Struthio camelus: one gene and its partners. Each later gene encodes a partner of the first gene's protein in a complex. Links are inferred from orthologs where the notes say so. Each region holds a gene or a part of one and is shown in the gene's direction. Other genes may lie near its edges. The genes, in order: TBL1X, protein zyg-11 homolog B, HDAC3 and CORO2A.

Evidence for each region.
Region 2: TBL1X (region 1) and protein zyg-11 homolog B share a complex: the UniProt entries of both Homo sapiens proteins name them as parts of the E3 ubiquitin ligase complex. The link is inferred for Struthio camelus from reciprocal best matches to the Homo sapiens genes TBL1X and ZYG11B.
Region 3: TBL1X (region 1) and HDAC3 share a complex: the UniProt entries of both Homo sapiens proteins name them as parts of the N-Cor repressor complex. The link is inferred for Struthio camelus from reciprocal best matches to the Homo sapiens genes TBL1X and HDAC3.
Region 4: TBL1X (region 1) and CORO2A share a complex: the UniProt entries of both Homo sapiens proteins name them as parts of the N-Cor repressor complex. The link is inferred for Struthio camelus from reciprocal best matches to the Homo sapiens genes TBL1X and CORO2A.

The regions. Positions count from the first base shown.
Region 1 is NC_090942.1:142,899,334-142,906,406, reverse strand, and holds the start of TBL1X (F-box-like/WD repeat-containing protein TBL1X), read left to right. Parts: upstream 1-4,055; 5' UTR 4,056-4,186; coding exon 4,187-4,193; intron 4,194-7,073. UniProt on the Homo sapiens protein: F-box-like protein involved in the recruitment of the ubiquitin/19S proteasome complex to nuclear receptor-regulated transcription units. Plays an essential role in transcription activation mediated by nuclear receptors.
Region 2 is NC_090949.1:31,701,107-31,708,809, forward strand, and holds the start of protein zyg-11 homolog B, read left to right. Parts: upstream 1-4,684; 5' UTR 4,685-4,702; coding exon 4,703-4,772; intron 4,773-6,039; coding exon 6,040-6,134; intron 6,135-6,596; exon of another isoform or gene 6,597-7,033; coding exon of another isoform or gene 7,034-7,036; intron 7,037-7,330; exon of another isoform or gene 7,331-7,662; intron 7,663-7,703. Other genes in the region: COA7 (cytochrome c oxidase assembly factor 7), read right to left, coding at 1,976-2,424, 3,972-4,112, 4,196-4,469. UniProt on the Homo sapiens protein: Serves as substrate adapter subunit in the E3 ubiquitin ligase complex ZYG11B-CUL2-Elongin BC. Acts to target substrates bearing N-terminal degrons for proteasomal degradation with the first four residues of substrates being the key recognition elements.
Region 3 is NC_090954.1:22,011,178-22,019,141, forward strand, and holds the start of HDAC3 (histone deacetylase 3), read left to right. Parts: upstream 1-4,961; 5' UTR 4,962-5,055; coding exon 5,056-5,110; intron 5,111-6,938; coding exon 6,939-7,021; intron 7,022-7,964. UniProt on the Homo sapiens protein: Histone deacetylase that catalyzes the deacetylation of lysine residues on the N-terminal part of the core histones (H2A, H2B, H3 and H4), and some other non-histone substrates.
Region 4 is NC_090982.1:10,448,245-10,455,783, forward strand, and holds the start of CORO2A (coronin-2A), read left to right. Parts: upstream 1-4,530; 5' UTR 4,531-4,853; coding exon 4,854-4,985; intron 4,986-7,539.

The DNA.
Region 1 (7,073 bases):
CAAGCATGGCTTTGCGGCACAGCTTCTGACATTCAAGCTACTCCATCAGCCAAGTAAATCCTGAATCTTCTTGGTATGGAAAACTTGCAATTTATTCATTTTAATATATTTTCTTTCTCTTCTCTTGCTATTTCTCTGTGAAAAAATAGGATGTGAGGAAATGGCAACATAGGAATTAGTCAATCTTTATGTAAAATAGAGTAGAATCAGCAATATACAGAAGCAGAAGCGTTATTAGAGCTGCAGCAGAACAAGAAACATTGCCTGTGAACATAGCGTTCAGGTCTCCAGAACAGGTTAACATAATATGTGGCATTAAACATTTTTAAAGAAATAAAGACTACACGTAATATAAATGTTGCGGCATCTTCGTCAGAATTAGATTTTGCAGAGAGTGTAGTGAGGGAGAAATGTGAAGTCAGAGAGAGATTGTTTCCATTTGCTCTTATGTTCAGTTTTCATGCACTGAATTTTATACACTGAATGAAAAATACGAGTTCTCCAGAATAATCCAGCCTTTCATTTTATTTTGCTGCTGTGTCTAAGCGATGAATCTGATAATTCCTTAAATGGGAAATTTGCCAGCTGAGAGAAACCTAGAGGGCAACAAATGGGCAGTGATGACAGATCGTCTTGAATGCTGAGAATGTTGTTTTGATTCCAGACTGTTTAAAAATATATTTGTCTAGTGGAAGGTAATGTTATACAGACAGATAACACAAGAGATTTCCTAGGTATTACACACACCACCCCACCCCCCCAGACACCCCAGCATGTGTATTTTTTTTCTGTAGGCTTAGACGATATAAATTAAAATGCTAAATCTTTCATTAAAAGAAAAATAAAGACAGGACACAAAGCAGTGAAATCAAAGCAATTCTGCCTTAAGGCTGCAGAGATTTCCTTCTCTTCCCCTGCTGTGTCTAGGTATTGCAAAACATATGGCTCACCTTTAGGGGGAGTCTCCAAACAGTGGGAGATGTTACATGCCGTATGTGCTGCAATAACTGGAGGTGCAGTAACAAGGTGAGCTGAGGACACCAAGATGACTGTATTTCAAACTCGTTGCTGGTTTACTGAGGGTTTTTTTTCACATATGTATATAGCTACAATATCGATGTGCTTTGACTTTTATAAGAGTTTAAGCCCTGGTACTAGTAGGCAGCTAAGTGTTTTGAGGAAGCTTGGAAGTGTGCATCAGGGACTCAGGGATGCTGGGTGTTAGGCATGGCGGGGGGAGGAAGAAAGGAAACCTGAGAAGGAGGACAGGTCTCTCTGCGTGTTTCCCACATGCTGTTCTGGCGGCAGCTGAATTGGCTGAACAGGCTATCGTCCCCCACCGTTCCTTACTGCACCCCTGAGATTTAATCGATCACGTAGGCACTCCCTGACCTGAGTTATTCACTGTAATCTAGGTTCGTTTAAACCCTTTTTAACACCAACTCTCTGAACTCTTTTAATCAGAACCATTCTGATCCAAGCAGTTATTCCACAGATACTGAGGGGCAGCGATGTTCGGCAGCAACGTTAAGGGAAGAGTGATTACGAGAAGCAGGGGAATAAGTTTACACCAGTGAAGATGCAGTCAGAACAAGTAGCATGACTGCAGCCAGAAATTGCAAACTACAGAGGATAAAAACTGCAGGGGAATTTAGCTGCTAGGCTTATTGCTACCTTGATAATAAAATTTAACTTTTGATGCCTGTCCCCCGAAATTTCTAAGCAGAATCTCTCAGCCTCTCAGCCCATGCTTCGTGTCACTCAGTTGAGAATTGTTCACGTAGCTCAGCAGAATGGAGAAGTCAAACGTTTGGTCGTCTTTGCTGCCTTGTAAGTTGAGAAGTAAAGCTGTACTAAAACATTATTTTCCTAAATAATTTCAAAGACTAGAACAAAAAGTGGCTGTAACATGTTGCACCTCACTAAAACACTGAATTGCAAAGCCAAACAAAATCTGTAAACTGAGAAGCAAACGGGCTCTTAATGATCCTTTTTTGTTGCTCATATCATCGGTGTAATTCTTTTTTTACTCCATTGAATGTTTTGCTATCAGGTCCTTCTTCTGTTAACGTACTAGAACGGAACCACTCATTTATAATGAAGACTGAATATTCATAAAACCCAGCTTTAGGCATCAGCATCCATATACATATACTTAAACTGGAATCAAAGTTAAGTGGTGTGAATATCCTTGGCATGTTCCATCATGAAATAGAAAGGTTCTGTTTCACTTAAAACAGCACAGTAAACATAGGTATCTTTCTGTGTAAATAGTTGTTCTCGCTTTTCATATTCTTCTCAATTTGTAGAAAGAGAGTTCAGTTCCCAAGATTAAAAGACTGACATAGCTGCTTCCATTTTGTTTTGAATGCGACAGTAGTCACACTTCTCAGATCCTGGGAAAAATAACATTTTAGTACTAACTAAAAGTAATATCACATACTGACTGCACAAAAGCAGTCTTGAAAGCTGACTGCTCTAAAATTTACATGAAGGTGCAATGTTATGTTAGCACAGTACGTGTAGATAAGACTTTAAGCAGTCTGCGTTGTAATTCAGATTATTGTCCTGATCTATATGGCTTTCAAACATACTTCAATTTCTTACTTTCATATTTGAAAAAACAGACATAATACTTGCTGAACAGAGCTAGAAGAATTTATTATATAAAGTTAGTGTACAGTTATCATTATGATTCTAGAACATACTTTACAAACTTAACTATGTCTGAACATAGCATGAGACGGATTATAAAAAATGTATTGGCTAAATCATTTAGGTAACTAGTTACTGCTAGTACTAGGATCCTGACTATTCTTTATGTGTGTCCTTTCACTAAAGTACAAACTGGAGAGTCATTAAAAATATATGAGCTTTATTAGCCTGAGTATCTCTTATTTTATTTCATCTCTTTTTCCATCTCTTAAAATACATGAGAAAATTAAAACAAAGATGGCTAGGTCGTACTGTTTGTGGTATCAGAATTGCATTAATACAAAGAACGTCACATATATTAACAGATAATACTTTAGTCAAATTCATTAAAAGGATTTATCTCAATCTCACTATGCAAATAAAGTGTTCTCATGTATACTAGTCAAGAGTGGTGAGCGTGGTGTCAGTGCAGAGGTATGTATCCCTGTTTACTCCTATTAGGCATATCTAGTAACAAGATATGAGACAGCTCATATCAACCATCAGATTAATCAGATTAACAAATCAGCTGGACTGAAACCTAGAGAAGTTATTTACTGTACCACGCAGGTGCTAATTTTGAAAGTATTCTGTTTTTTTCTGGAATTTCACTTGTACTGCAGACTCTTACGTTATGTTCAATGTGAACGAAGTGTTCAAATACACTGAAATATTTAAGTTGCTAGCCAACTCGAAGGATTGGGTTCTCTGGACCAAGAAGCTGCCAGACCAGTTCTCTTTACCACAAAGTCTGTGTGATATATGGGGTTTTTTTTGTCTGCGTATTTCAAAATGCTCAGGTTTTTCACAGCCCTATTTACTGCAGATAAACTTTTTACTTAATTTAGTGTACTTGTCTAACCAGTGTTCTCAGGTGAATTTTTGATAGCTACACAGTGTAACCTGTTAGTGTATACCATGCATTTTAATTGAGGGAAGGGTTATAAATCACATAGTTTAAGAGGTAGTAAGAATCATCTCATTTAATATAAATAGTTCTTACTACTATAGCTCTGAAAAAGCTAAAAAGGTAAAATTGAAAGCTAATTTGTAGTATAACAGAAGGTTCCTGTGTCTTCAGTCATAAATCTTAAGCTTTGTTATAGCTGCTTAAGCAGCATGAACTCTGTATGATCAGAAAGAGCATCTCCTGTTTGGTATTTTTAAGATCTGTCGGAATTCAATATGCAAGCTTGTGCTATTCCTTTTCTTATTAAGCGCCTTATTTGCTATGTAAGCAGTACAGCAGACACATATAGTTCTAATACAGAGAGATTAACACTGTAAGATTGTAGGATAATTTAGTGAGGAAGGGACCTCGGAAGACCTCTAATCCACCCTTCTGTCCAAAGCAGGGCCAACTCTGGGGTCTGACTCAGCTCCTCAGGGCCATGTCCAGTCAGGTCATGAAAAACCCCAGGAACGAAGAGGGCACAAAAATCTTCTTGCACAAATATTCAGCATCTACTAATGCTGAAGATAGTTACTGACAATGAAAGGTAAGTTTTCAAATAGACATTACATAGGAACATTCGGTTGGCAGATCAGTGTATTGGGTTGTTTCTGACATACTTTCTGGAAGAGGCATTTATTGGCACTTATAAATGCCCTCTACGTTTTTATAGTATGTAACTTTTTAGCCTGCCATGTCCCTCCGAGTGTACAGTAACTACCGTATATTTGCAGTATGACTTCAGTTACAAGTTTTATTCTTAGATGATTCCTTTTTTCTCCTCAAGCATTTTTTTCAGCCTCTGTTAAGAAAAAAAAAGAATTTAGTGCAAGTCTTTAACTATAAAGCTGCTGTATATTTGTCCCTGGCTTAAAATAAAAGGAAGAGCCTGTTTATGTAATAATTTTGGAGGTACTTTAAAGAGATTGTATTTACCTCAAGAAATAAAGAATCATTTCAAATTAGAAGTAGCGACCAGGAAATTCGACTTCCTTGACAATATTGCAAGCTTCTTCTTAAAGCATCTAAATGAAGGTAGTGTCCCATTCCCTGCCTGGCAAACACAGTATCTCCCTTACTAAGTTGATGACCAGGTTCTGTTTTATTAAAAATGACCCGAAGAAGGTTTTCCAGCACTTTATACTTCAAAATGTTTTTTAGGTTACATCTGTTGTTTAGGCTGTTTAATACCACTGCCTTTTTAAGGAGTCTTTGGAAACAGGAGTGTGAAATACTGTGTTTCATGTGAACGTATGACTGACTAGTTTGGGGGTTCATATGGTTTGGGGCAGACCTTGCTCAGTTCTCTTCTTTTGTAAAATATACTAACTGGAAGAAATGAAGCTCAGAAGAAAGCGGCTAGCTTTGAATGATAGAGAAGTTGGCTGGCTAATGCAAAAGTCACTGTCCCTGGAATTAGTTTTCCAGTTTGAAGACGGAGGGAAGGAGTGGGAGGAGAGTGCACGTGAAATTGAGATTGCTGCTCCTGGGTTCACATGAAGAACTCTCCGGCTCTCCAACAGCTTAGCTTTTAATAACCTGTTAGGTATTTTGCCAGACAGTGGAAACACCTGTGCTTGTATTTTCAGAAATCAAGTCTGGTAATGTCCAAGTAGCTGCTATTCATTCACCCCCTTCTCAGATTGCTGGTCAGCCTATGATTCTGGGAAACGCTAGCTGTCTCTCATCTTTCTGCTTCTTAATTTACAGCTAAATCAGTTTGGTTTTGATCCCTGAATAACTGTGTTTCAGTCATGAGCTCCATTGTTAGATATTTAAGTAGTCACTCTTTGGAACTGAATTTGTACTGATATCCATCTTTTCAGGTTAAAAGATGAGAGAGTGTGTAGATGGATAGAACAAGACAGAATGGGAAGATATGTAAACCTGAACTTTTTACCATGTTTTAGTTGTTTCAGAGTGAAGTGGTGTTTTTTTGCATGTTCTTAGCAGGTTAGCATTTCCTGAGGAATTCAGCTGACGGTAACTGGACTTATGTAAAATTTCTTTCTAGTTTTTGTGTGCTTATCCTAGTGCTTAGCTCTGAATTTAGAATCCATGTTCTCCCTTGGTGAGTGCAACAAAATCCAAAACACAGACAGACTTCTTTCCCGCTCTCCCTGTTGTACTGGAAATTTTCTTTTATGAGCTTTTTCTTTTAAAAAGCTTTTTCTTGTACAAATAAATGAAAAAAAAAATAGAGCATGGGTTAACTTTACCTTGTAGTATTGTTTTTAAGAGAATTCATGAGTGATAACCATCAGCTTTAAAACAAGTAGATTGCTTAGACTCCTATAAAAATACTACAGTAAGTTATTTCTTATTGTATTGCAACATCCAGGGGAAATAACCAAATAAAACAGTGTTAATACTGCAGCTGTTCCTGATGATTCTAAGCCAGAATATGGATTATTGATTGCAGTGAAATGGGCCTAAGAGGAGAGCACCTTTTCAAAACCCCTTTTCTATATCTCTCTGTATGTTACAGGCCGTTACCAGTTTTATCGCATATTATTTCCTGTCCCTTACCTTGGGATAGAAGAAACTTAAGTGTATGACATCCTAGAGATTTTTTTTCATTATTTAAAAGAGTAATAGCATTTTATGAGAATTTAGTATTTTTACAGTGTCTTCATTTCAGCAGTGGGACGCATTTGGGAAGACACCTGCAGTCCCAATGACTTCAGCCCCTGCAGAGGTCTGTTTATTGGAATTTATCTGAAAACAAAAGCCACAGGGAGAAAATGAAAGAATAGCTTACATTACACCACTGGAAACTTCTGCCGGAGAAATAAAATTTTGAACATTTATTTGTAGCTTCATGAGAATTCTTTAGCAGCTTGCAGAATGCATAGTTCTGTGGCAGTGCGCTGTTCAACTGATGCCCATCTCCATATAGCCCAAACCTTTTTTAAAATTTCTTTTGTCATCTATCATTCATAAGGATATACAGGAAATTAATAGTATGCAGAAATTTCTGCTTGAGAGCTAAGTCAGACCATCTGCAGAAGGGATACCCCTAAAACTAGCAATTGGTGCAAACTTTCCAAAATTTTTGGTTGCCTGGAACTCTTTCAATAATTTTTCCAGTGTTTGCACATTTCCTTGTTGTTTTTGGCATCATACAGTTCCCTAGTAGGTACATCTCATACGCATTTTCTGCCTGATAGCTCCAGCATTACACTTCGTGGGCTAATCAAACAAAGAACATTGTTCAGTACTGGGAAGAGATGAATGTGGTGTTTGTTTCTTCTTCTCCCCGCTCTAAATAATGTAGATTTTCCTTTGCAAAAATATACTGGATAAGTAACGAGCCCAAAGTTTGACTTGCGAAATATTGGTAGAATGGGTCCATAGTACCAGTGATTCAGTCGTCTGTCAGCCTGATAAATGGATTAGCGTAAGAGGTGTTCCAGTGGGGAAATGC
Region 2 (7,703 bases), on another chromosome or scaffold:
GCATATTGTCAGCTTTTCTAAACAGAAGGTAGCAGAAAATAAACTAAACTATTGAATTAATTGTTCCTCCAAAAAGATGTGATAAAAATTAATTAGAAATTATTCTTTAGTTTCAGCTGTTGCTAGGCTGTGTGCAAGCTGAAATGCTAGGCACACTGAGAAGCACACAAATACACGCATTTGGCTAACTTGCCAAGTAAACTGACTTTCTTTTCCATAGCAAGATTGTAGCACAAACCAGTATTCAGTACCTCCCTCTGCTCCTTCAAGGGTAACCTTCACTGCTGACTGGCAAACCCACATTACTACCAGCTGCTAACAGTTCTTCAGAGCATCTATCACAAACCCAGCCACTGAGCACAGAATCCAATGCTCAGATAGGAGTGCCACATCCCACATCAGCTGTATGCCAACTCTGTTGTAGGTGAACTCTTAGAATAAAAGATGGTATTTTCACCGTCAGTTACCACAGCTTTTGTTTTTTCAGACTGAGGAATACTATTTTTAATTTGTACATAAAAGATCACACCAAACAACTGCGTGATGCTTTTTACCCTAAGGTCAGTGTTGTAGGAGATTCATATCACAAGGTTTAGAAATGTAAATGAATATATGAAGTGGCAGATGGAACCAAAAAACCATTAATCAGACCGAGTATGACAGCAAAGCATGAAAGTAAGCAGAAAGGAGACTTTCCGGGTTTGCACTGAAATCCCCTGGGCAAATCAGTGTTCCCGGCCCGTGACAGACAGGCACGCATACAGAGTGGGTCTGCATAGGCAGATATTTCAAAAAAAATGAACGCACAAGGATGCAGCTCATATTGACTGACACAGCTCCAACGTTCACAGGTTGTTGCCCAACAAATATCAATTTCATAGGCTAGAGCTCCTTTTAAGACAGCAGCTTAGTACAACTCCCTCTGAAAACCATACTCTTCTACAGAAAACAGCTTTTACTTGTATGCTGAAGAAGTGTTCCAATGTAGTTTCTTCGTATTCAACAAACAACAAAAAAACAAAACAAAAAAACCCGAGCAGTAGCTTTCACAGCTGGCCCTTTTCCTGAATCAAAAGTTTTACTACTAAAGTTATTCTTGGACAAAAGATTATTGATTTGACTCCATTCACATGCTGAATTATTTAGGAATCAAAGTATATCCAATAATTCAATTCCACAATGTTAGTTTACAATCAAATAATAACAATTTGTAAAATTAAAAGAATTAACACTAACAGCCTATAAAACTTAGACTGATTCAAGAAATTAAAGCTTCTCAGATGAAATTCTGACGAAATTATGACATTAAACATACAGTTTAAAACCTCAGTAGGATATCAAATTAGTACTTCTCCACAGAACAAGGTATTTCTTTTTTCTCCTTCTTTATATGTGTTGTTTTGAGAGTTTGATGACAGAGCACGTAAGTCAGCAAGTCTTTATATCATTTCAGGACAACAAACGTTACCTTCAGTGAGAGAATCAACTCGTTTCTCAAACCATCCTAGTACCAAGTAGCCTTAGAGCAGACTGTCCACGTGTGCACATTATCAAAGTTCCACAGGTGCTTGAAAGATTGTGGGTACAGTTTTGAATGTTTGAATTATCTCGCAACTACAATTTTTTGTGTTAGAACTTGACCTAGCACAAGCCTTGATATCGAAGTGTTACGCACAAGGGAGAGCCCTCCACGCTTGAAACCACAGGGACAAACTTCCAAAAGACCAGAAGTTTTTGCCCTCCTTAAAGGGGGGGGGGAATCTAAGCAATGCACCTAAAAACATATGTATTTAAAAATGGATAAAGGCACAGCAGAGTTGACCATGTTTGTTGCGTCCACAAAACATATGTTTATTTGTATATGCAAAAACTTACAGAATATTTACTCAGAGTAAAAACTGTATGCCCATGTGATTTAAACAACAAGTTCACTTGACAAGTAAAACTGCAGTCTTAAGAACTGCAACTGACAGTTTTACTCCCCAAACGTTAAAGAACTCGATGCTTCTTTCTGTTCTTTATGCAACTGTTTTGCCCTGTTTTTCAAAGCTTCTGCTTTGGTATCATTCTTCTCAACGCCATCTCCCATTTTGTACATTCGACTGGCATTGGCACAAGCCCACACATGACCCAGCTCACATGCTTTCAGAGAATACTGCAAAGCATGGTTCATGTCCCTAGGAACGCCAGGTGCTCCTTGGAGGTATATTACACTGAGGTTGAAGCAGCTAGGAGCAAAATTGCCATCACAGGCTTTCGTGTAATAGTCTCTAGCAACAACCGGGTCAGGTTTATCATCATTTACTCGCCCATCATGGGCCAACAGCCCAACGTTATGACAGGCCTTTATTGACCTCTTCCCACCTTTCTCACATGACTTCATAAAGGAGTTGTAGGCAGCTTTCAAATCTGGCGCGAGTCCACCTGTCAGCCAAGAAACCAAAAGATTACAGTAAGCACATGCTGCATAACCATGAAACTTTCTGCTTTGCACCATGTCTCCCAATGCTCACAACATTCCTCGTTATGAGATGCTACAGTCTACGTTTAGGACTTCAGAGACACAACTGTTGTCTCAATTACGATAGGTTTGCTAATGCCCTCAAATTAGGGAACCCTGTTCCACTACACAGTAGTCATGTAGGCAAAAAAAAAAACAAACAAACCTCTTTCCACTATTTACATAGACCTCTAACCTAAGTAACTTACACTAGACTAAGTATTTTTTGCCAGAATAATCATATGTACACTGAAACTGTTACTATTTTTTAAAACTACAGTAACAACATCACGTTCCTCACTTGCTTTGTTATTTGCAAGGAGATTCACTAATGTAATTGCTTCAAATCACTGCACCAGCAGATACTTCTTTGGCAGACTTGGGGCCTACACATTTGTGTATCTGCAAACAGTGACATCCGTCTGTAAGTTTATTTCTTCCTTATTTTCTGTAAGGAAAAAAAAAAAAAAACCAGACAGGAAGAAATCCAAGTTTTAAAAACAGGACACACTCAGCACTGAATAAACCTACCACTTATACATTTATTTGTTTATAGTTCAGGTTTTTTATAGTTTCAGTAATTAAACGTAACTTATAATTGGTTCTTCAGAGGAAAGTACTTTAGGTAAACGGGGCTCAAAATAAGATTTTTTTTTTTACACTATATCTAATACATTTAGTTGGGTAGTAAAAGGAGTATCTTAAATAGCTTAACATTTTCTAAGCTAGAAAACATACATTTCTACTCCTTGCATTGTCACAGTCTAGAAGATGCAGATAACTTGGGACAATAAACACTCCTAAATCTAACCCGAGCTGCAGAAATACAAATGCATGCTGCAGACCTCTCTAGGAGTTGCTACAGTTCCATTACAACAGCCAAGACTTTTACTTTCTCCTCAGTCTTCCAAGTCACAGAAACCTATTAGGACTGATCCGAGGCTGCAACTTTGAGCATGAACTTATAAATATATATTGCAGGGAAGTGCCAATGACCCTTGATCGACTGAAAAAGTCTGAAAACTACAGAACAAAAAAGTTTTCCACCCTTCTCTCGCTTTAATCGTGCGGCCATAAAAGAGGAAGGACACCTATTTTCTTTTTCAAGGTCAGAAGGAAATGCAGGTACTCAGCACCTCCTGAAAAATAAGAGCTACATTTCGCCACAGGTATTCAGGCACCCTCTCTCTGCTCCCGTGGCCCTTACAGCAGGGGAGTTCACACTCCTGGCAGGGCCACCACAGACTGGTACCCTCTATGCTGCAGGTAAAAAGCAGAACCTGCCACACATTCACCACTGTGCAACACGACCATGCCACCAGCTGCTCAGGCAGGAGTGTGACGGCACCAAGCACGAGGGTTTCCGAGGCAACCGGAGGCCTGAACGGTAACAAAGGGCCTTCTGCCGGGTCTCGCAGGAGGGCGGGGAAAAAAAGGCTTTCCTCCCCTCCCCCCCCACGGCCTGGCTCACCTTTCCCAATGGCCTGGTAGGCCCCGAGCTTGTAGCAGCTCTCGCTGTGCCCGTGCGCCTCGCAGTTGTCGCGCAGCACCCGCGCCGCCGCCACGAAGTCCTTCCGCACGGCGTCCAGGTAGTCGGCGAGGCGCTGGCAGCCTGCAAGGCAGCAGTGAGGGGACGCGCCGGACACCGGCCGGCGGGCCCCGGGGCGGGGGAGGGGGCCGGCGGGGACCGCTTACCGTCCGGGTCCTTCTCGCGGTAGCACTGGTAGCTGTACTCGACGTGCAGGTTCTCCAGGTAGCCGCGCACCTCCTCCTCGTCCTCGAAGTTGACGAGCCCCGCCATGCTGGCCGGGCCGCCGCGCGAGCGCCGAGACATCGATGCCAGGCCGCCCGGAGGAGCCCCGAGCGGGGCACCGCGCGGATCAGCCCTCCCCGCCTGCGGCGGGGGGATGCCTACGCATTTTCGGCAGTAACGCATTCGGCGGATTTTACTTGCTGGGTTTTGTGCCATTAGGATTCATATTTCTGAGGTTTCGTTTACGATATTTAAAGCCATAAGTTAAGACTTTTCTGTGGCGTATACATCAATATACTTTGCATGACCTGGAAGCTAGGGCTTTATTACCCATTCCACAACTCGGTGCCCGCATGCTTTTTTGTCTTGGATTAACAGCTAAATAACGGTCAGCTCAATTTTAGATCAGCAATTCTTCCTTTTTCTTCCTTCAGCAAAAATTCTGACAGATGCTTTTGATGGGAATCCTCCCTCCTAGTATGTCTGAGTGCCAGGGATATCGAGAACGCCCAGAGATCGGTAAGCAATTGACAAAACATAACAAATTGTAGTTCTCTAGGTATGGCTGAATTTACAGCTCAAGCAAGATGTGATATTAGGATACTTACACAAAGTATGGCACACTTTCCAATTCCAGCATTTTTGAGCACAAACTGAACTTTCTGACTGTAGCAGCACATTAGAAATGGACATGACGAACGGCCTAGAGTTAAAATTAATTTTAAAGAATACTTGACAATATTTTGTCCCAAATGATTTCAGTAATATAACACAGAGTTGTCAAGTTTTGGGAATATACAGAACTCAGCTAAATCTTGTGCATAGGCTCCATAGGAAAAAAAAACAGATTGTCCATTAACAACCAGAGCGAACTGCCAGGACTACTGTAGGTCGGGCCGATGGCACCACCTGCTGGACATATTACCAAAGTCCAAATACACCAGCTGTTAAAATTATTGCTACATTATTTGCTTAAAACTTTCCAAACTTTTCAGTATTTGGGTTGAAGTTATCACACACTGGCCACAAATAACGAAAATCTTCTTTCAAAATGTATCAAGCGAAAGCACTAACATGTCTGTGAGAATGCAAATAAGAGAATATATATTGTTTGGCCCATGCTGACTGACACCTGAGAACTTTCTTGTCAAGTCCTCTTCTGCTCTGCAGAAGGGCTTTGGAAGATGACCATTTGCATAGGCGCAGTAGAAACTCTTGAGTTTGCTAGTACAAATCTCCAAAGAGATTGTTCTTGCTGGGATTTCGTCTTTGCCGTTTCTGATGCCGCTGTTGTGGCAGGACCAACTCGACAGAGCAAACTCTATCCTAGGACTGCAGCAGCACAGCAAGCTTCCCTTGCTACTGCACTTCTCGAGTACCGTGGGGAGGCCAAGCACTAGCACTGAGTAGGAAATTAGCCTGTGTCTTCAAAGCTTTCACTGTTTGAGCCCAGATAGGAGAAAGGAAGGTATTTCCTATCATAAATGCAGACAGAATGAGAGAAATAAAGTAAGGACAAGGGTATGTGGGGATACTCGGGTTGGAGGGAGGGAGTGAATTTGCAATTAAGTGTAGAAGAAAAGAGACTAGAAGCTCTGAAAGACATTAGCAAGTGGGAGAAACAGACAATGCACTAAGAATAAGAATACTACCTCTTTCTTTACTTATCTAAGATCATTTATGTTGCCATAATTATATAAGTCATTTCTTCTAACCAGGCTAGTTTTTTAAGCAGTTAAATTCAGAAACGTGGGGACTTTTGATTCTGTTCTTGTCTGATCCCAAGGACGTTGTTTATTTTCTCTGCCTCGACATCCCAATCTAAACCCCAATCTAAACAATGGGACTACAACTGACTGCTGTCAAGAAGTCATTGAACAGGTAAAATTGCGTTTGTAGAATATTTTTGTTTGTAGAACGTGTTGTCATAATCTAATGATAAAAACATAAATTAGTATCTTTTCCTTAATGATTATTTATGTGTTGGTTTGCAAACAAATGCTGTTCAGAGCTGCTGTACATGACAACAGCAACTCCATAAAAGGTTTAAACCATAACATCTTCGTAATTTCGTTTTGCCTGGACAGGGTAACGGTATCACTCTTTAGTTTGTATCCTGACACAAAAATAACTGTATTTCTCTTCATGTACTTCTGCAAGTGAGGCCTGAAATTATTTGGTATTGAAGTTCATGGCAAAGCTGCTCTCCTACTTGCAGGAAGCAAAACCTATGGTGTTATTCACTTTACTGTAAGAAACGAGTTTGTGCAGGAAACCAGTTTAGATATGCAGGCCGACCCGTGAGGATGACATCAGACTCCTGACGGTGAGAGAGGCTTCCCCACAGATAAGGGCTGCTATGTAAGTGCTTAACTCCTCAGCGGACGGAAGAGCATTTGCTCAAGGGGCAAACTCACCGGCAAATCTCATTTTTCCCTTTCGTCCTTGCTCGGCCACGGAGGCAACACGACGTCGAGGAAAAAGCGCTGACAGGGGCTGAGCGCAGGAGGCCGCCGCTCCCGCCTCACACCTGGCGGCAGGAGCCGACGCGCCCTCGCCTGACGCCGGCGCCCTTTAAGGGAGGCGGGCTCAGCGCCGCTTCCCGGCCGGCTCAGCCACATTCACTTCCAGGTCGGGGCGGCGGCGGCCGACGGCGGCGGGGGGGGGGGTAGGCAAAACGGGGGGTGGGAGGGGAAAAAAAAAAAAAAAAAAAAAAAAAAGGAGCCCCGCGCCGGGAGCCGGCTCGCTGGGCGTTCGCGTCCGGCACACGCCGCGCCGCCATGGTGAGTGCGGGCGGAGGGAGGCGGCGGCGGGGGGGAGCTGAGGCGATCCGCGGCGGGGGCGAGGGCGGCGGCGCTGTGGGGCGCGGGGCGTTGCGGGGGAAGGGAGAGGCGGGGGGGCAGGTGAGGCCGGCGCGAGGCGAGGCCGGGGCGCGCGCGCGCCTTCCCCTTCTTCCCCCCCCCCCCCACCTCGCCGCTGCCAACCGTTGAGGGGGGCGCGCGCGGACTCGGCCGCCCTCCGCGCTGCGCGACGGCTGCGGCCGCCGCTTATACACGCACAAGGGGCGGGCGGGGGGCGTAGCGCGGCGCGAAATCTCCACAGCGAGCGGGGGCTTCGCGCCCCTCAGCCCTTCCCTCTCCCCCCCCCCCCCCCCGGCGCCCTTCAGCCCCTGGGTGCGGGGAGAGCCGAGCCGTCGGCGCCACCGGCTGGGCCACGGGCCTGGCTGCCCTGCTGCAGCAGCCGGCGGGTAAAAACAGCCGTTTCTGCACGTTAAAGCCAGGCCTCGGAGCAGGGCGTATGGGTGCTGCTCTGCCCACTGCCCTGCGTGGGAGATGAGCGTGCAGGTTTGCTTGTAAAGCACTGGCAGGCGCTTCCTGGGTTGTCTGGTTTAATTCCCTTGTTATTACAGGTACTGTTTCATTTAATCCCTTAATAAACTTTTTTTTTCCC
Region 3 (7,964 bases), on another chromosome or scaffold:
CTCAGGGATCCCACAGACACCAGCTCCCTTACCATGGCATTTGGTATGGGTAAGAAGCTATCAGGAACACAGTCAAAGTTAGGAGGGCAGAAATAACACAACTGCTGAACCTCTTACATCTCAAAGACCCTCAGAGCTGAACTGGCCCATGTGGATGGGGAAGAGAGGTGAGCAAAGGGAAGTGTTGGCATACATTTGTTCTTGCCCGCTGCTGAGGCAACCCACAACGCATTCAGACTAGATGCCCCTTGCAGCCATCTATGCGGTGGTGAGAGCCCTCGTTCCTATCCACAAGCGGTCAGGCGATTCATGGAAGTAACACTCAGGAGCCCAAGATTCTCTTTTATCCCCATGACTTCACCAGGTTACAGCACATCATACGTGCCATTCTTCTGTCTGTTATCCTGGCTGGAAGACAGGCCACGGCCATAATATAGTCCCAGTACGGAAAGAAAAGACCACGGGCAGTGGGAGACCTTTTGGGCCTGATCCTGCCACGCGTTGCTGGCGACACAGGATAGGAGAAGTCTCCTGACCACAGTCTAGCGAGCTGCCACAAACTACAACATCACATGAGTCTCCGCTGATCAAGATCTCAGAAGCAGTTCACGCCTTGCCTTCTTCTTCTCAGAAGAAGTTCACGCTTCTCTGAAGAGACACTGGGCCAAGGACCTTGCAGTTTGGACTTTCTCCTAAGCCCTAGGGTAATGTAGTCATGGTAAGCTTTTTTCCCATTTGTTCTCGTGCCCACGCTGTCCTTTAGAATAAATCATTCTTTCTCCTCTCTTGTGTTTCCGCCCACCCGATGTATTTCTGCATGGCAATCCTATCCCCTTTCAGCCTTCATTTTTGCCAGGCTAAACAAGCCCAGTTCACTTAACCTCCTCCTGCAAGACAAGATTTCCATTCTCCTGCTGCCTCAGCTGTCTAAGCATTTCCAAAACCAAGGAGGCACATGATGGGGAGAAGGAGGAAGGCACAGCAGCCTGTCCTGGGACATATCCTGGCTCTGCCTGGGGTGTAGGAGGTTGAACCAGGACAAGCAATGAGCTCCTTAGCTCCGTTATCTCAGTCGATTGCCTTCCTCCTCCTCCTGGGGGTCTTGAGCCGCACCGGCTGCAGCGCATTGTACTGGGCACTCGGGAATACAAATAACGAAGCAAAGACTCGGTGCCACCAGTCGCAGGATGCCCAGAGTCTGCTTTGCCTTGGATTTGTGTCCTTGCTCTCCCCTGTCCTTCCACCTACTCCTGCAACAGCCTCAGCTCCTTCCCCCCATCCTCTGTGACCCCAGTAGTTAAGACAGAGCACGAGATCAGACAGCGCTGGAGCCAACAGCAATTCAGCAACAGCTCCCGGGCAGGCAGCTGCCTGTTTGCTGCCTGCCTGCTGCACTCACCGCTGAGATCCCCCCTGCCTTTCCTCCCCAAGTCACTCACGTGGACTGTCCTGGCAGGTGCATATATAAATCCTGGAGGAACCTCAGGATCTTTGAGGCTTCTGTCCCTCTTGTGAAATTGCCCAGAAGCAATTTCAAATTTAAAATTTTAAGCCATCAGGTTTGAAAGTTACTGGGGGAGGGGGAGGGAGGGGGGGAGGGAGGGAGATGGAGAGCATGAGCCACATGCATCGTCCCCTCGGGTGACCAGCTCCCCAGAGAGACGCTGCTCCATCGCGCCATGCAACAAACCATCCCACAAGCTGCAGTCCCAATTTATCACCATATTGCTGCTTTTCTGCTCTTTTATCACGGCTTCTCTACAGTGATTATAATACACGTCATACCACAAACAATGCCAATGCACCCATTTTGTGGATCATCCGCTCTGGCCGTATTGATTGTCCACGTGGCAGTTAACAAAACAGGGCAGATTTCTAGGCTCTGAAACTCCTGTGGACAGGCTCCTTGTGGGGTCTCTACCATGATGCTCAGCATGGAAATTGCCACTATTTCTGTGCAAATTCTATGCCTAAATTGCATTTCCTAAAACATTACCCTGAATCTTAAAACCATTTAAGACTTTCTAATGTGCCCAGCAAGCTAATGGCCTTTAAAATGCAACGTATTTTTGCTATTTGCACACAAAGAGTATCTAAAAATATCCTTCTCCTATGACTTCTTTGCAGTGCTCCAATACCTGTCAAAATGCCCTGAACAGTTACTGATTTTCAGAAAGTGAATTCAGCTAGCAAAGTCTCCATGCAAGCAAAATATACTCAAGGAAGGAACGCATTTCTTACCTATTTGCTCCTTTCCCATAGCCAGGCGGGTCTGTGGCTCAGCCGAGCCGTTTACGTAGCTCTACAAACCCGTGGGGTTGTTATCTGGTCGCTGCACCTTTCTGATCTGCAAACAGCCCGTCATGCTGACTGATCAGCCATCGGTGAGACGTCAGCTGGAGTGGAAACCCAGCCGGGGAGCAGAGCGCCGCTGACTTGAATCATTTGTTGCTACATCCTTGCTGCTTAGATCTAGCCCACTAAAGTCCACATTTATTTGACTTGGGGCTACACTAGGCTCCTGGGCCCTGAAATGCACGCTGTGTCTGGTGCATGTCGGGTACCGTCTGCACGAGGCCTGCTGCCACATGCAGCCCCAAGTGGCATGGGGGAAAGAGCTACTACAAGCCAACCAATTTCCCTTCTGCATGTTTATTACCCAGGTAGAACATGCTTTTGCTGAGAAGCTGGGGAATCTCCCGGTACAAATCCGTAGTGCTCTCTATTCTGAATCTGCTCCTCTTACCATGCCCGCAGGGAGCCCCAATTTTGGGGCTGCCCATTTGCCCTGTTCCTCTCTGATACCCTACAGAAGCTGCCATGACCTATTATACTGCAGGTGTCCGTGACCATCATGTCTCAAACGCAGCATCCTTCATCTCCAACCTCTTGCCAGTGGGATCCACGAGGGCAGATTTTCCCAGCTGCACAGGAAACCTGCAGGACCGATTCCCTGCTGACCTCAACTCTTCTGCTCTCAGTGAGGTTGAACTTGACCTAGAAAAGTAGTTTCTGTTGTTGGGTTCGTGGGAGGATGTTTTGTTTGTCATGTCTGTGGTTTAGCTGCAAAAATAAAGCTGTTGCAAAATTCCTGGCTAGTCTTTCGTCTACTTTAGGTCTCCCAGGCTCTTCCTGCCCGTTGCGTTTCCCTGTGTCTTCCTTTCCAGTGGTGTTAGCCCTGGAAAAATGGGACTGCCTCATCAGAAATTTAAAATAGAGAAGCATCAGAAAGCTTTGAAGCAAAGCGAGGACTACATTGCAAGAGCCAGGCATCCCGTCTCCAGCGCAGGGCTATCGCCGCAGCGACAGCGACTGTCTGCAAACCATCAGCGCCATCTGAAGCTGCTTCTTGTGCTCCCCAGCGAGAGGCCACCCTTTTTCTTCTAATTTCTCTCTCGGGATGTTCCTCTCCGTCAGTCCTTTCCCACAGCAGCTGTGGAAAGTCGGTCCTTTCCCGCAGCCCCTGCTCCCTCTCCTCCTGCGGCCAGCTCTCTGCGGGCTCCGGGGACGTCCCCGCCACGGGAGCCGGAGGAAGGTCGCCCTTCGCCGGCCCCACAGAAGGCCAGTTTCACACTCTTGCTAATCCCTTTTCTGACCCGCTGGGAAACGCCGCACGTCGCTTTCCTCTTTTCTTCTTTCCAGTGATAACACGTTTTTTGCCACCTCCTTCACCCACCCAGGGTCTCCTGCTCCTGGGGCAGGTGTCCGTGTACCCTGCCTGTTCTCCAGGGGAGGTTTAGGGGTTTTTCCCCTTTCCTGGTCGCTGTTTTTTTTATACACTTCAATTTTCCCCGTAGCTTTTGTTCTCCGGCTGCCCTGCCTGCCTCGAGGTGCCTCCCTGTCCCCAGTCGCTGCCAACCCGGGCTGATTATTTCTGAACGCTGCCAGAGGTCAGGAGGACCCATTTCTTGCGGGCTTTTCCCGGCTGTGCCGCGCCGGGGTGGGACGTTTGAGGTTGGCTCGGCCACGTCCCCGCCACGCCGGCAGCCCCCGGCCCGCTAGCGCCCCCCGTTCGGCGCGGCGCGCGGCCCCTGGACCCCCCCAGCGAAGGGCTGAGCCCCGCCGCCGCCGGGCTGCCACCCCGAGCCCTCGCGCCCCGTCCATGGCAGGGGCGGGCGGGCAGCCCCGGCCCCCCGGGCTCCCGCTCGGGGAAAGCGCGGGCAGCCGCCGGCTGTCCTCGACGGCAGCAGGGCCGGCACCAGCGCCCCGGGCCTGCCTGCGGCCCGCCACGTCCCGCCGGCACCTCGGAGGCAGGGGGCCGAGCCCCGGGCAGCCAGGGAGCCCGGCGTGGGGTGACCGGGGGGGGTCGCTGGGGGCAGCTGGGGGGGACTGGGGAAGTTAGGGGACTGGGGGAAAGCTGGGGGGGACTGGGGGGCAGCTGAGGGGGGACTGGGGAACCTAGGGGACTGGGGGGCAGCTGAGGGGTGATTAGGGGCAGCTGGGGGGGACTGGGGAACCTAGGGGACTGGGGGGCAGCTGAGGGGTGATTAGGGGCAGCTGGGGGGGACTGGGGAACCTAGGGGACTGGGGGGCAGCTGAGGGGTGATTAGGGGCAGCTGGGGGGGACTGGGGAACCTAGGGGACTGGGGGGCAGCTGAGGGGTGATTAGGGGCAGCTGGGGGGGACTGGGGAACCTAGGGGACTGGGGGGCAGCTGGGGGGGACTGGGGAGGCCGGGGGGGCTGGGGAGCAGTTGGGGGGGACTGGCGGGCAGCTGAGGGGTGATTAGGGGCAGCTGGGGGGGACTAGGGAAGCTGGGGTAACTAGGGGGCAGCTGAGGGGGACTGGGGGCCGCCGGGGCGGGGGGGGAGCAGCGAGGGCCGCTCCCACGCAACGGGGCAGCCGGGGCTCAGGGGCACGACCGCGGCTGCGCACACCGGGCCCCGCCCCCAAGGCCCGGCAGGGCTCGGCGAGCCCCGCCCTCCCCTCAGGCCCCGCCCCGGCGCGGCGGCTCCCGCGCGCGGCGGCGGTGGGCGGGCTCGGGCCGCGACCGGTCGCGGCGCGATGACGTCGGCGCGCGCGTGCGCCCGCGCGCGGCGGTCCCGGCCTCTCCGCCATGGCGAAGACTGTGGCCTATTTCTACGACCCGGACGTGGGCAACTTCCACTACGGTGAGGGCAGGGCGGGGCGCGGGGCCGGGCCGGGGGCGGCGGTGGGCCCTGAGGAGCGGGCAGGGACCCGGCGGGAGGGGCCGGGGCTGCTCGGGGCCGGTGCCCCCCCCCCCCCGCCCCCGGTCCCGGTCCCGGCTCGGGGGCCAGCGCCCCCCCTTCCCGGTCAGCCGCCGGTACGGCGCTCCCGCCGGGCACAGCCTGGTCAGCGGGTCGGCACAACACCCCCACACCCCCCCGCACACGCACATTCTGGTCCAACGGCCGGTACAACGCCCCTGGTCAGGGGCCGGTGCGACACCCCCCCCATCCCACTCAGGGGACTGGTACAACCCCCCCCCCCCACACACACATCCCGGTCAGGGGACTGGTACAACCCCCCCCACACACACACACATCCCGGTCAGGGGACTGGTACAACCCCCCCCACACACACACACATCCCGGTCAGGGGACTGGTACAACCCCCCCCCCACACACACACATCCCGGTCAGGGGACTGGTACAACCCCCCCCACACACACACACTATCCCGGTCAGGGGACTGGTAAAACTCCCCCCCCCCCACACACACACATCCCGGTCAGGGGACTGGTAAAACTCCCCCCCCCCACACACACACACACACATCCCGGTCAGGGGACTGGTAAAACTCCCCCCCCCCACACACACACACACATCCCGGTCAGGGGACTGGTACAACCCCCCCCCCCCACACACACACACACATCCCGGTCAGGGGACTGGTACAACCCCCCCACACACACACATCCCGGTCAGGGGACTGGTACAACCCCCCCACACACACACATCCCACTCAGGGGACTGGTACAACCCCCCCACACACACACACATCCCAGTCAGGGGACTGGTACAACCCCCCCCCACACACACACATCCCAGTCAGGGGACTGGTACAACCCCCCCCCACACACACATCCCACTCAGGGGACTGGTACAACCCCTCCCCCACACACACACATCCTGGTCAGGGGACTGGTACAACCCCCCCACACACACACACATCCCACTCAGGGGACTGGTACAACCCCCCCCCCACACACACACATCCCACTCAGGGGACTGGTACAACCCCCCCCACACACACACACATCCCGGTCAGGGGACTGGTACAGCCCCCCCCCCCCACACACATCCCACTCAGGGGACTGGTACAACCCCCCCCCACACACACACATCCCACTCAGGGGACTGGTACAACCCCCCCCCACACACACACATCCCGGTCAGGGTACTGGTAAAACTACCCCCCCAACACACATCCCCGTCAGGGGACTGGTACAACCCCTCCCCCCACACACACACACACACATCCCAGTCAGGGGACTGGTACAGCTTCTCTGTCCCTTTAGATTCCCCCTTGGAGAGCCTTTATCCTCCTGCCACCCTGATCCTAGCTCGGGGGGCTGGTGCAACCCTCCTTCTCCCCATTCTGAGGGCTAGTACACTCCTCATCCCTGCTTGGGGGTCAGAACTACCCCTCTATCAGTCAGAGGGCCGGTGCATCTCTCCCTTCCCCATCCCTGGCTTAGAGGGTCTTAGGGTCCCCTCCCTCTCCTAAATCTTGTCTTGGAGGATCAGTTCTCCCCATGTTTCTCCCCATCCCAGCCTAGCATGCCAGTATACCCCCAGCCTGGGGGGCTGGTATACCCCCCACACTGATTCATGCTCAGGGAGCTGGTGCCCTTCCTTCTCCCCCACCAGGCCCAGCATAGAGGGATGGCTCACGGGCCTTAGTCCCTCCACCCCCTGGCAGAAAAGTGGCTCAAGGGGTGCAGGTCTGTGACTCCTCACGTTGTTTCCCTTCCAGGAGCAGGGCACCCCATGAAGCCGCATCGCCTGGCACTGACCCACAGCCTAGTCCTGCACTACGGGCTCTACAAGAAGATGATCGTAAGCATCGCTTCTCCGGGGGCAGCAAGGCTCTGGCAGGGCATGTGGGACCCTCATCCCTACCCCTGCAGAAACACGGCTGTGGGAGGCAGCTGTGGCCAAACAGCCGTTGGAGGGAGCTATTTACCCCTGGGCAGACAGGAAACGTGTTAGAGATCCATGCTCTATCCTAATTTTCAAGGCTCACTTTTGCCACTAACTCCAAATAGTAGCCTCTATTTTAAGGTTTGGGCTATGTTAGTAAGTTCTCCAGGGCTTTCTCATGTTGCTGCTTCTTGTTCAGCTCCCGTTTGTGGCACAGCAGGTAACAGAGTTGTTACAGGCAGGGCTCCAAGCGGTCTTGGCCATTTTCACTAACATGAGGTCATCATTAGCTGTTGGCACCTTGTTAAAGCTTGTGCTTACAGTACCATACCTGGAGCTAAAGCTGTGACGGTGAGAAACGAGTGAAACGTCAGTGTCCATAGCTGCTTCTAGGAAGGACCCAGAGACCATTGTGGGATTACATGTTATCATAGAGAAGTAAAGCTGAAAAGAAAACCCAAGGGGTTAGCTAGTTCATCTTGATGCTATAAGGCAGGATTCACTAATCCTATCTCATCCCTGCTAAATGTTTGTCCAGCCTGGTCTTCAAAGTCTTTATTGCCCAACCAGCTCACACAATCTAGTTCAGTGCTTTGCTCTCATTACGATTAGAAAGATTTTATTTTCCTGAAGTCTAACTTGTGTAAACCTGATAAAATGTGACTAGCAGGTAGTGATTACCAAAAAGCAAACTTAATTCTTCTTATCTTTCAAGAAAGGAACTAATTTGAGTATAGCAGAATATGGCTACAAATCTGTGGTACCCCTAATTTGAAATATGTTACTTCACTTGGGACAGGCGGAATTGAACCAGGCCCCTTTCGCTAGAATCTTTGTTCATTTTGTTGTCCATTCCCAT
Region 4 (7,539 bases), on another chromosome or scaffold:
GGAAGGACAGAGCTGAAGTGCTGATTGACCAGGCATTGACCACGATGGGGTGGACAACCCCCTGCAGCAGGAGCTGTCCCACAAACTGAGCTTTTCCTCACTCACTGCCAACCTGCTGCCTCCATGGCGGACTTATTAAGGCCTTATTTATCACCTTGCTTCAGGGAGATGCCAGCCTCTGAGCCAAAGCTATCTGCCTGATTCTCTGGTGTTAAGAGCTCTCTGCAGAACGTTAGCTCTGTTTTGCCCAGGGAAATTTCAGGTGCAAAAAGGCAAATGGCTTTCTAGGGTACACCAGTGCCATAGTGGCAGCGCTGAGGCAATTTAACCCCCTCCACCCCCTCTCAGTTCAGTGAGAGGCTGTGGGCTGCACTTAGAAACAAAAGCGTGAGAATACCCTCACGCACTTTCTGCTCAGGCTTAGCAGCTTGTCAAAGAGGAAAACAGCACACCACATTAGCAAGTGGAAGACAAAAGTACTAACTGTAGCAAGCACATTTGGGATGAGGGGTCCCCTATCCCGCTGCAGCCAGATGTTCACTTTGGACGCACAGTCCAGCACCAGTGATAAAAAGTCCTGATTTCTTGCTCTTATTAACCAATGGCTTCCTGCCAGGTGCAAAGGTTGGCACTGAGATTCCAGCTGGTGGATCAATATCTGCTCTGGTTGTAAGTTTAATTTTTGTAATACAAACCTCTTTGCCACATTCTGGTGCCAAGCTGGCAGGAAGCTTGGAGACTTCAGGCAAAGTACAAGTTGACATAGCCACACAGAGGACTCCCAGTACATTTCAAAGTCCCTTCAGAAAAAGTAATACAGGCTCAACATCAGAGTCCCCTACTTAAAGTTATGCCTTAATTTTTCTTTTTAAAGTGATTCTGTTAGCACAAAAGTACTGTAACATTTTGCAGGGAGGAAAAATTACAAAAGGAAATTAAAACCAGCTGTCATTTTTTGCTTTAGCTTCCAATAATTTAATATTTTCAACATGATGGAAACCCTTGCACATGAAGGGGGAATGCCAATGCCATAAACTCTGGAAAGACTTCCAGTTTTGACCCTGTTATCGCAACAGTGTTTTAAATGTCTCTAAAGCTGGCCAGCATTGAGAGGGCCCAGCTTCTGCCCTACCTCTTACCACCTGCCACTGCACACATTACACAGTCAGCAATCTTGAAATCTGAAGGGCTGGAAATAACTATGGCAAAACTAAGGACATTCTCATTAAATGTGACAGTAATTGGGTATAACTAAATAGAGGCTTCCTCCAAGTGGCAGTCTAATCTGACCCCAGCCAGCCTTTGGGAGGTATACGTATACCACTACTACAAGTGACCCAAGAAGGGCTCCATCCAAACCAACCACAGCCAGGCACGTCAGGCCCCTTCTCCTCAGCAGGCTGGGATCATGCACTGTATGATGCTTGCTGCAGCAGCTTCTCTTCAGGGCAGATGTACTGGGCCATGTGCTAGCATAGCACAGCCTTAAGAGTATGCCTGCTTGATGATACTTCCTCTGCAAACTGGCTATGGCCACAGGGCCTGGCATCCTAGGGTTATGGGAGGCATCACCACGCAGAAAGCAGTTTCTCTTCTGTCTCTTTTCATCTGCTTCTGCAACTGAGCCCTACAAGGCAGGACCCTGCTCCATGGGAACTGCACCCAGCTACGTATGGGGTGCAGCCATATGGATAACACGCACATGACTACGCTGAGGTAGCTCCTGCAATGCAGAGCAGCCACAATGGTTTCCAGCTCTCTTCTTTGTGGCTGCTTGCAGCAGGCTGTACTGCTATGTGTCATTTCTAGCTATCAGTGGACCTACAATGGTGAACAACATGCTGTTGTCAAGCTCCCTTTCATACGAGCTCTTCTGGCTGTTGTGGTGTTCTTTCACCTGTCATTAATTTTGGACAATCTGTGGGTAGAAGCCTAACGATCACATTACCCTGCTTTTAGCCTGATTTCTGATGCTTAGGGATATGAGGCAAGAGAGAGCTCCAGGGCACATTGCTCCAACTTTTGCTTTTGGATTGCAACAGAAAGAGCAAACAACAGCATTTTCTTTGGGGCTGCTGGAGGCTATCTTTAGAGAGCACAACAAGTGCTGTGTGAGGGTGCTCTGTGGATGGGGCTAGTCATGCTGCCAAATCAGGTTAGGAGAGTTGTGCTGGGGAACAGTGCCGCAGGGTCACCCTGGAGGGTTTCTTGTTCCAAGCCTGCTCTGTGGACACAGGCTGCCACCAGCAGTTGCTCAGCCAGGCCCTTGCTGTTGGATCGCCAGCCGAGCAGTCCCAGGAAAGGAAAGCCAAAGGGTAGGATTCATCCCAGTTGTCAAGGACACCCCAGTACAGACACCAAGAGTCCCAGTCATCCAAACTTAAAGAAAGCAAAGCAGAACGGGCAGCAGTTCACTTTGTTCCAGGGCCAACATCTACAAAAGGTCTGAGGAACAGCACTCATGCATCACCTATTTCTCTGTAATTACTCCTCTAGAAAATCCTAAAGACTAGCAGAGCTAGAGATAACTACAGCAGACAGGGCTGCAGTCTGGAGGGAGGTGTCCCACCCAGAACCCCAAGCAAAGACATCTTTGTCCTCCTGTCAGCCCTGGGGAGCAATCTTCTCCAGCCACATCCAGGTGTGAGGCCACAGTGTTCTGAATGGAAGCACTGGCGGTGATGTGCATCTCTGCACCTGCTATTTCTCCTGTGTTGAAGACACGAGCACATACTGGTGAGGGTGCAAAGGAGTTTCAGATGCCTTCCCATTGCCTGTATGCAGGGCAAGCCGAATACAGCTCCTACACAAGCACCATGGCTTGGTGTCAGCAGCTGGCTTGTTTCCTGTGCTCCATTCATGGGCAGTGCTTCTCAGCAGCAGTTTCTCTGCGTGACTGCCTCAGTCTCCTGGATTGTCCCAGCCTGGAAGCTGGCAGCAAGCACGGAGATCACTCTTGGGCATCGATGGTTAATTCTGAAATTCTGCTCAGCTCCCTCAAAGGATTAGGTGGGATTGCTCTTCCTCCCGTAAAGGACTTCAGCTGCCCCAAGGCACTGGTGGGCTCCTGTCTTGCCACGGCAGAATCAGTGTAGATGCACCTGAACTGCAGCATCTCATCTGTGGTGGACACCCAGTCTCGCAGTGTTGTCATGCCCCGTCTCAGCCTGGAGCTGCCACGGCCAACCTGTGATTAGGGGCACTAAGATGTGGAGAAAAGCCAGCTGTTTCTGAGGCTCTATTCAGACAGGACCTGAGATGTTAGTTGGGTGGGTAACCTGGCTAAACAAGTCTCATTGCCCTTTTGACTGATCTTGGGCTTTGCCACCTACTTGCCGTGTTCCTCATCCAGGGTACTAGGGGGGCTTCTAGTGTGCCAAGAAACCAACTCACCCCAGAGAGAGTGTGAATTTTGCAAGCACAGGAAGGTCTCTGGAGCCATTGGGCATATATGAAGCTTTAGGCTCACATGAGCCAGCAGATCTCCACCTGCCAGGGACGGCAGAGCAAGGCAGCAGCTGCTAGCTAAGGCTGGCACACTCATAAAGGTCACACAGGTGCGGGCAGCATTCAAGGAGCAGTACACAGCAGAGCGCGGTGTGCCTAAGATACAGAAACATGCTGGCATAGCCGTATGAACTACGGCAGGGTCTTGGGGCAGCGCACTAGGCAGATGATGGCAAAGTCTTGACACTGTCGGGATGATCTCCTAGGAAGATATACCCAACTCCTCCAGTAGGACCTACCTGTTGCGGTCGCAGTGTTAGGGGGCTGTGGGCACCTACCCCAGAGCGAGCTGGGTCAGAGATGCCTAGGGAAAGGAGACGTTTTGCTCCAGTTACATGAGGACTCCCCCTAAAAAGCAGGAAAGTGAACACCCCGCTTTCCATGACAGAGAACGGCCCCGTACGCATGGTCGGCAGCAGCACTCCCCTGACAGACCTGCTTCAGGGAGCGGTTATGCTGGAAGGGACCTCTGGAGGTCTCCAGCACATTCTCCTGCTCGCAGCAAGACGAGCCTCAAAGCGCCACCCGATGTTTCCCGAATCGCCGTGCATTTTTAGCCGTCGGAAACCGAGCCGGCAGCTCCTTTGGGCTCGTCGGCAGGAGGGCGGCGACCGGGAACCTCACCACCGCCGGCGGGGACCTCTCCCCCGCCGCCGCCGCCCTGGTGGGTGCCGGTGCCGGGGTCCGTGTCCGCGTGTCCGCGCGTCCGCGCGTCCGCGCAGCGGGATCCTCGCATGGATAACCTGCGGGGGTGGAGTGGGGGGGGTGGGGGCGTGTCGCGACTATCGCGACTGTCGGGGCGCGGCTGGGCGGGGCGGGGCGGAGCCGGCTCGGCTCGGCTCGGCTCGGCTCGGCTCCCTTGTGCACGCCCTGAGCGCCGCCGGCCGGGCGCGCCGACCCGCCGCCGAGGTAGGAGACCTCGGTCCCGGGTGGGAGAGGAGGGGGGACCGGCCCCGCTGCCTCCGTCCGCGACACGCGTGGGGCGGGGGACAACACGCGCGGGTGGGTGGGTGGGTGGAGGAGAGGAGGGGGCGCTTTGCGCCGGGGGTGGTGTAGCTCGGGCACCTGCCGCAGCCGGTGTGGCGGGGAGGAGGTCACCCGTGGGGGTGGCAGTGGTTGCGGGTGGCGTTAGCCGTGGCCATGCCCCGCTGCCCGCTGAGCAGCGGCCGTGCCCTCCCTGCGCCTTCCCCGCCTGGCGCCGTCGGGAGGGAAAAGCTCGCCCCACGCCGCCCCGGGCACCCCGGCCCACGGCCCAGCTGAACTGCCTTTTCTCTGCAAGCAGTCCAGTCCGACATCCCGGACAGAGCAGCAGGGATGTTTGGGCCGTGGAGGCACCTCTCCAGGGGATGATGGCAGGCAGACCGCCTCTCCCACCGTCCTGGAAAGGCCCCGTTTGCCTGGTACCTGGACCGTCTGCTGGGTGGGCGAGTAGGACGCGTGATGCTCCGCAGGGCCCCACCCTGCTTTGTGCAGCCAGGGTAAGGTTTTGCACAGAGATGGAGGTCCCTGCGCCCCCCTTGCCTTCCCACCAAGCCCAGAAAGCAGACTTTCTGCTTTCCCCAGAGGAGGGGAGGATGTGTTAACCCTTCCACGATTTTTGAATCTGCAGCTGTCAGGGAAACACTGTTCTGGAAGCTTAAGAGCTCCAGCTACAGAGATGTGCGATAGTGCTGGTGGGAGCGATGTGGGAGGGAAGCATCCTGTGCTCTGCTCCCTAAGTCGTGCGGGCATCTATAGGTGCTTTCCCCATTGTGGCAGGACATAGCTGATGGTTGGAGTACTATATGTTTCCCCTGGGCAGGAATTTCACTTTCCAGCTACGTCATGGTACAGAGTTTTTACTGTAGGTAACTGCAGGGTGATCTTTTATGCGGAGTGTTACAGACTGAAAAAGCCAACCCTTGGCTGGAGCTCACTGGCTTCTGGGGCATCTGCTTAGAGTTGTTTTCAACTCAGAGGTGCATAGCAGATGCACAGAGCAACATGGGTTCATGCTGGCTCGAGACAGATTGGAGTCAGCAGGATGCTGCCTCTCTGGAAAGCCGGTACTTCCTCCTGTCAGCCCTGCTTGCTGGTTCAACAAGTGGCACAGTTTTAACGTCTGTGTAACTTTGCTTATGATATAGAGAGAAACATAATGTATGTGTGGAGGGGGATGAGGGAATGATTACATTTGGCCCCCTTGTGCCGCAGGCGTGGGGATTTTGGCTGCTTGATGCCAAGGCAGGTCGCATCTTGCACAGAGCATGGTGACAGCCACCTAAGGGACATCTGGGCCGTGTTCTCTGGCCGAGGGGTACCCTGGTTGCAAGGCAAGCCCTTGAAAGGATTTGACCTTCAGCAGCACAGCTTTGGCGTATTGCTTCTTCCTGTGCACCTGGCTTTGACCCTGCGTCTCCAGGGCTAGGCAGGTCGTTGCGAGGGGATGTGCGATGATTACGGTGCTTTATAAACAAGTCCCTGATAGCCTGGGAAAGCCAGCCATATGCAGAGCCTTGCTCTGTGTTGTTGTTCACCCGGCAGGGAGTGGTGCCCTCCCTGTCTTGCTCTGGAGTAGGGACAAACAGCCCTGCAGCATCCCAGTCGTTCCCAGTCCTCCTCTCACTAGCGGTTCCTAACGAAGCACCGTGCTTGCTGCAACCCCTCTAAAATTTGCCTAAACAGGCTTAATCTCTTCTGGCCTCCTGGGTGCTCAAGGGAAATGAACTCTGTGGAGAAATTGCAGAACACAGGAGAGAAGTTGGATGTTGGCTGTCTTTTAAACTTCAAAATGCAGGCTGCCTGGTGGGTTAACAAAGGAGCAGCCGGTATATCCCTGTTCCTTTTGTTCTCCCACTCGCTGTGCCCTCTGGTCCTTCATGGTTTGATCAGAGATAGGGGATAACTGAAGGAGACGGGCAGGGAGTTCCTGTTTGGATGTTAGCATCTCAGGAAACTCTAGAGCAATGCTTCAAGAGGCAGGGTGGGGGGCTGCTGATTGCTTCTTAGAGACTGGGGAAAAAACAAGTATTTTAATCTGCACTGGAGTTGTCTTTGTGGAATTAGCATTATTGCAGGCAAGCTGTATCTCCATCAATGCAAATTATTTAAAGTTCATTTGCTCTATTAGGCCATAGCAACAAATCCAACCCCCTCACCTGTGAAGAGCTGCCTTAGCCCAGGGAAGCTCGAGAGCCAGGCGCTAACGATGTCTGGATGCAGAGCCAGGCAGTTCTTCCGTCCAGCCCTGGCTCTGCCTTCGGCTTCTCCTAACCTCCCTTCCTTAGAGGTGAAGCAATTCGGCATGAGCGTGCTGGTCTTGTGCGTGCAGGAAGCTTTTGCCGGGGGAGAGGGGAGGCACAGCCCTCTGCGCGGCCGGCTGCGTCAGGCTGCCTCGCAAATCAGCCGGGACTTTCCTCGCTTTAGACCTGTGGATCAGACTGATTGCTGGTTATGTATGTAGCAGGTTGGGATTTCCTGTTGCCAGTTCAGTAACGTGATGTCAGGGTACCTGGAGATGTGCTGGGTTTCTCGCTGTCTGTGCCAGTGGGTAATTTCTGCCTGTCTCTCGAATGTGTTTATCTGTGCCCTGTGACCAGATTTTTGGGAGCACATTTCAATAAGTGGATGATTTTTTCAACCTTTCTGCGTTTGTTAAGTTTTTTAGTATCTGGACAATGAGTGCATTTTGGGCTGCCTGCCTCTGTGATCTGCTTCCTGAGGTTTTCTAGTGAGTCTGTTTCTGGGTGGGTTGGCACTGGCCAGGCTGCTGGTTTCTGGAGCTGGTTTGTGGTGCCTGTGCGAGCGGCACATTGAACTTGTCTGTAGGATATCCGAGGTGCCGGATGCCTGGATGCTGTGCATATTTCTTCGTTGTCTGAGCATTGGGGGAGTACATTTACTATGGAGCAGGTCTATGTGCTGTGAGCGAGAGGTACCCAGGCAGCCTGGAGGTTTTAGTGAGAGACTTGAAGGCTTTGGGTAAATCTCCAGAAGCTTTGCAGGGAGGTGCAACTGGCTTAGGGGGAAACTAACATAGATTTTGTGCTCCGC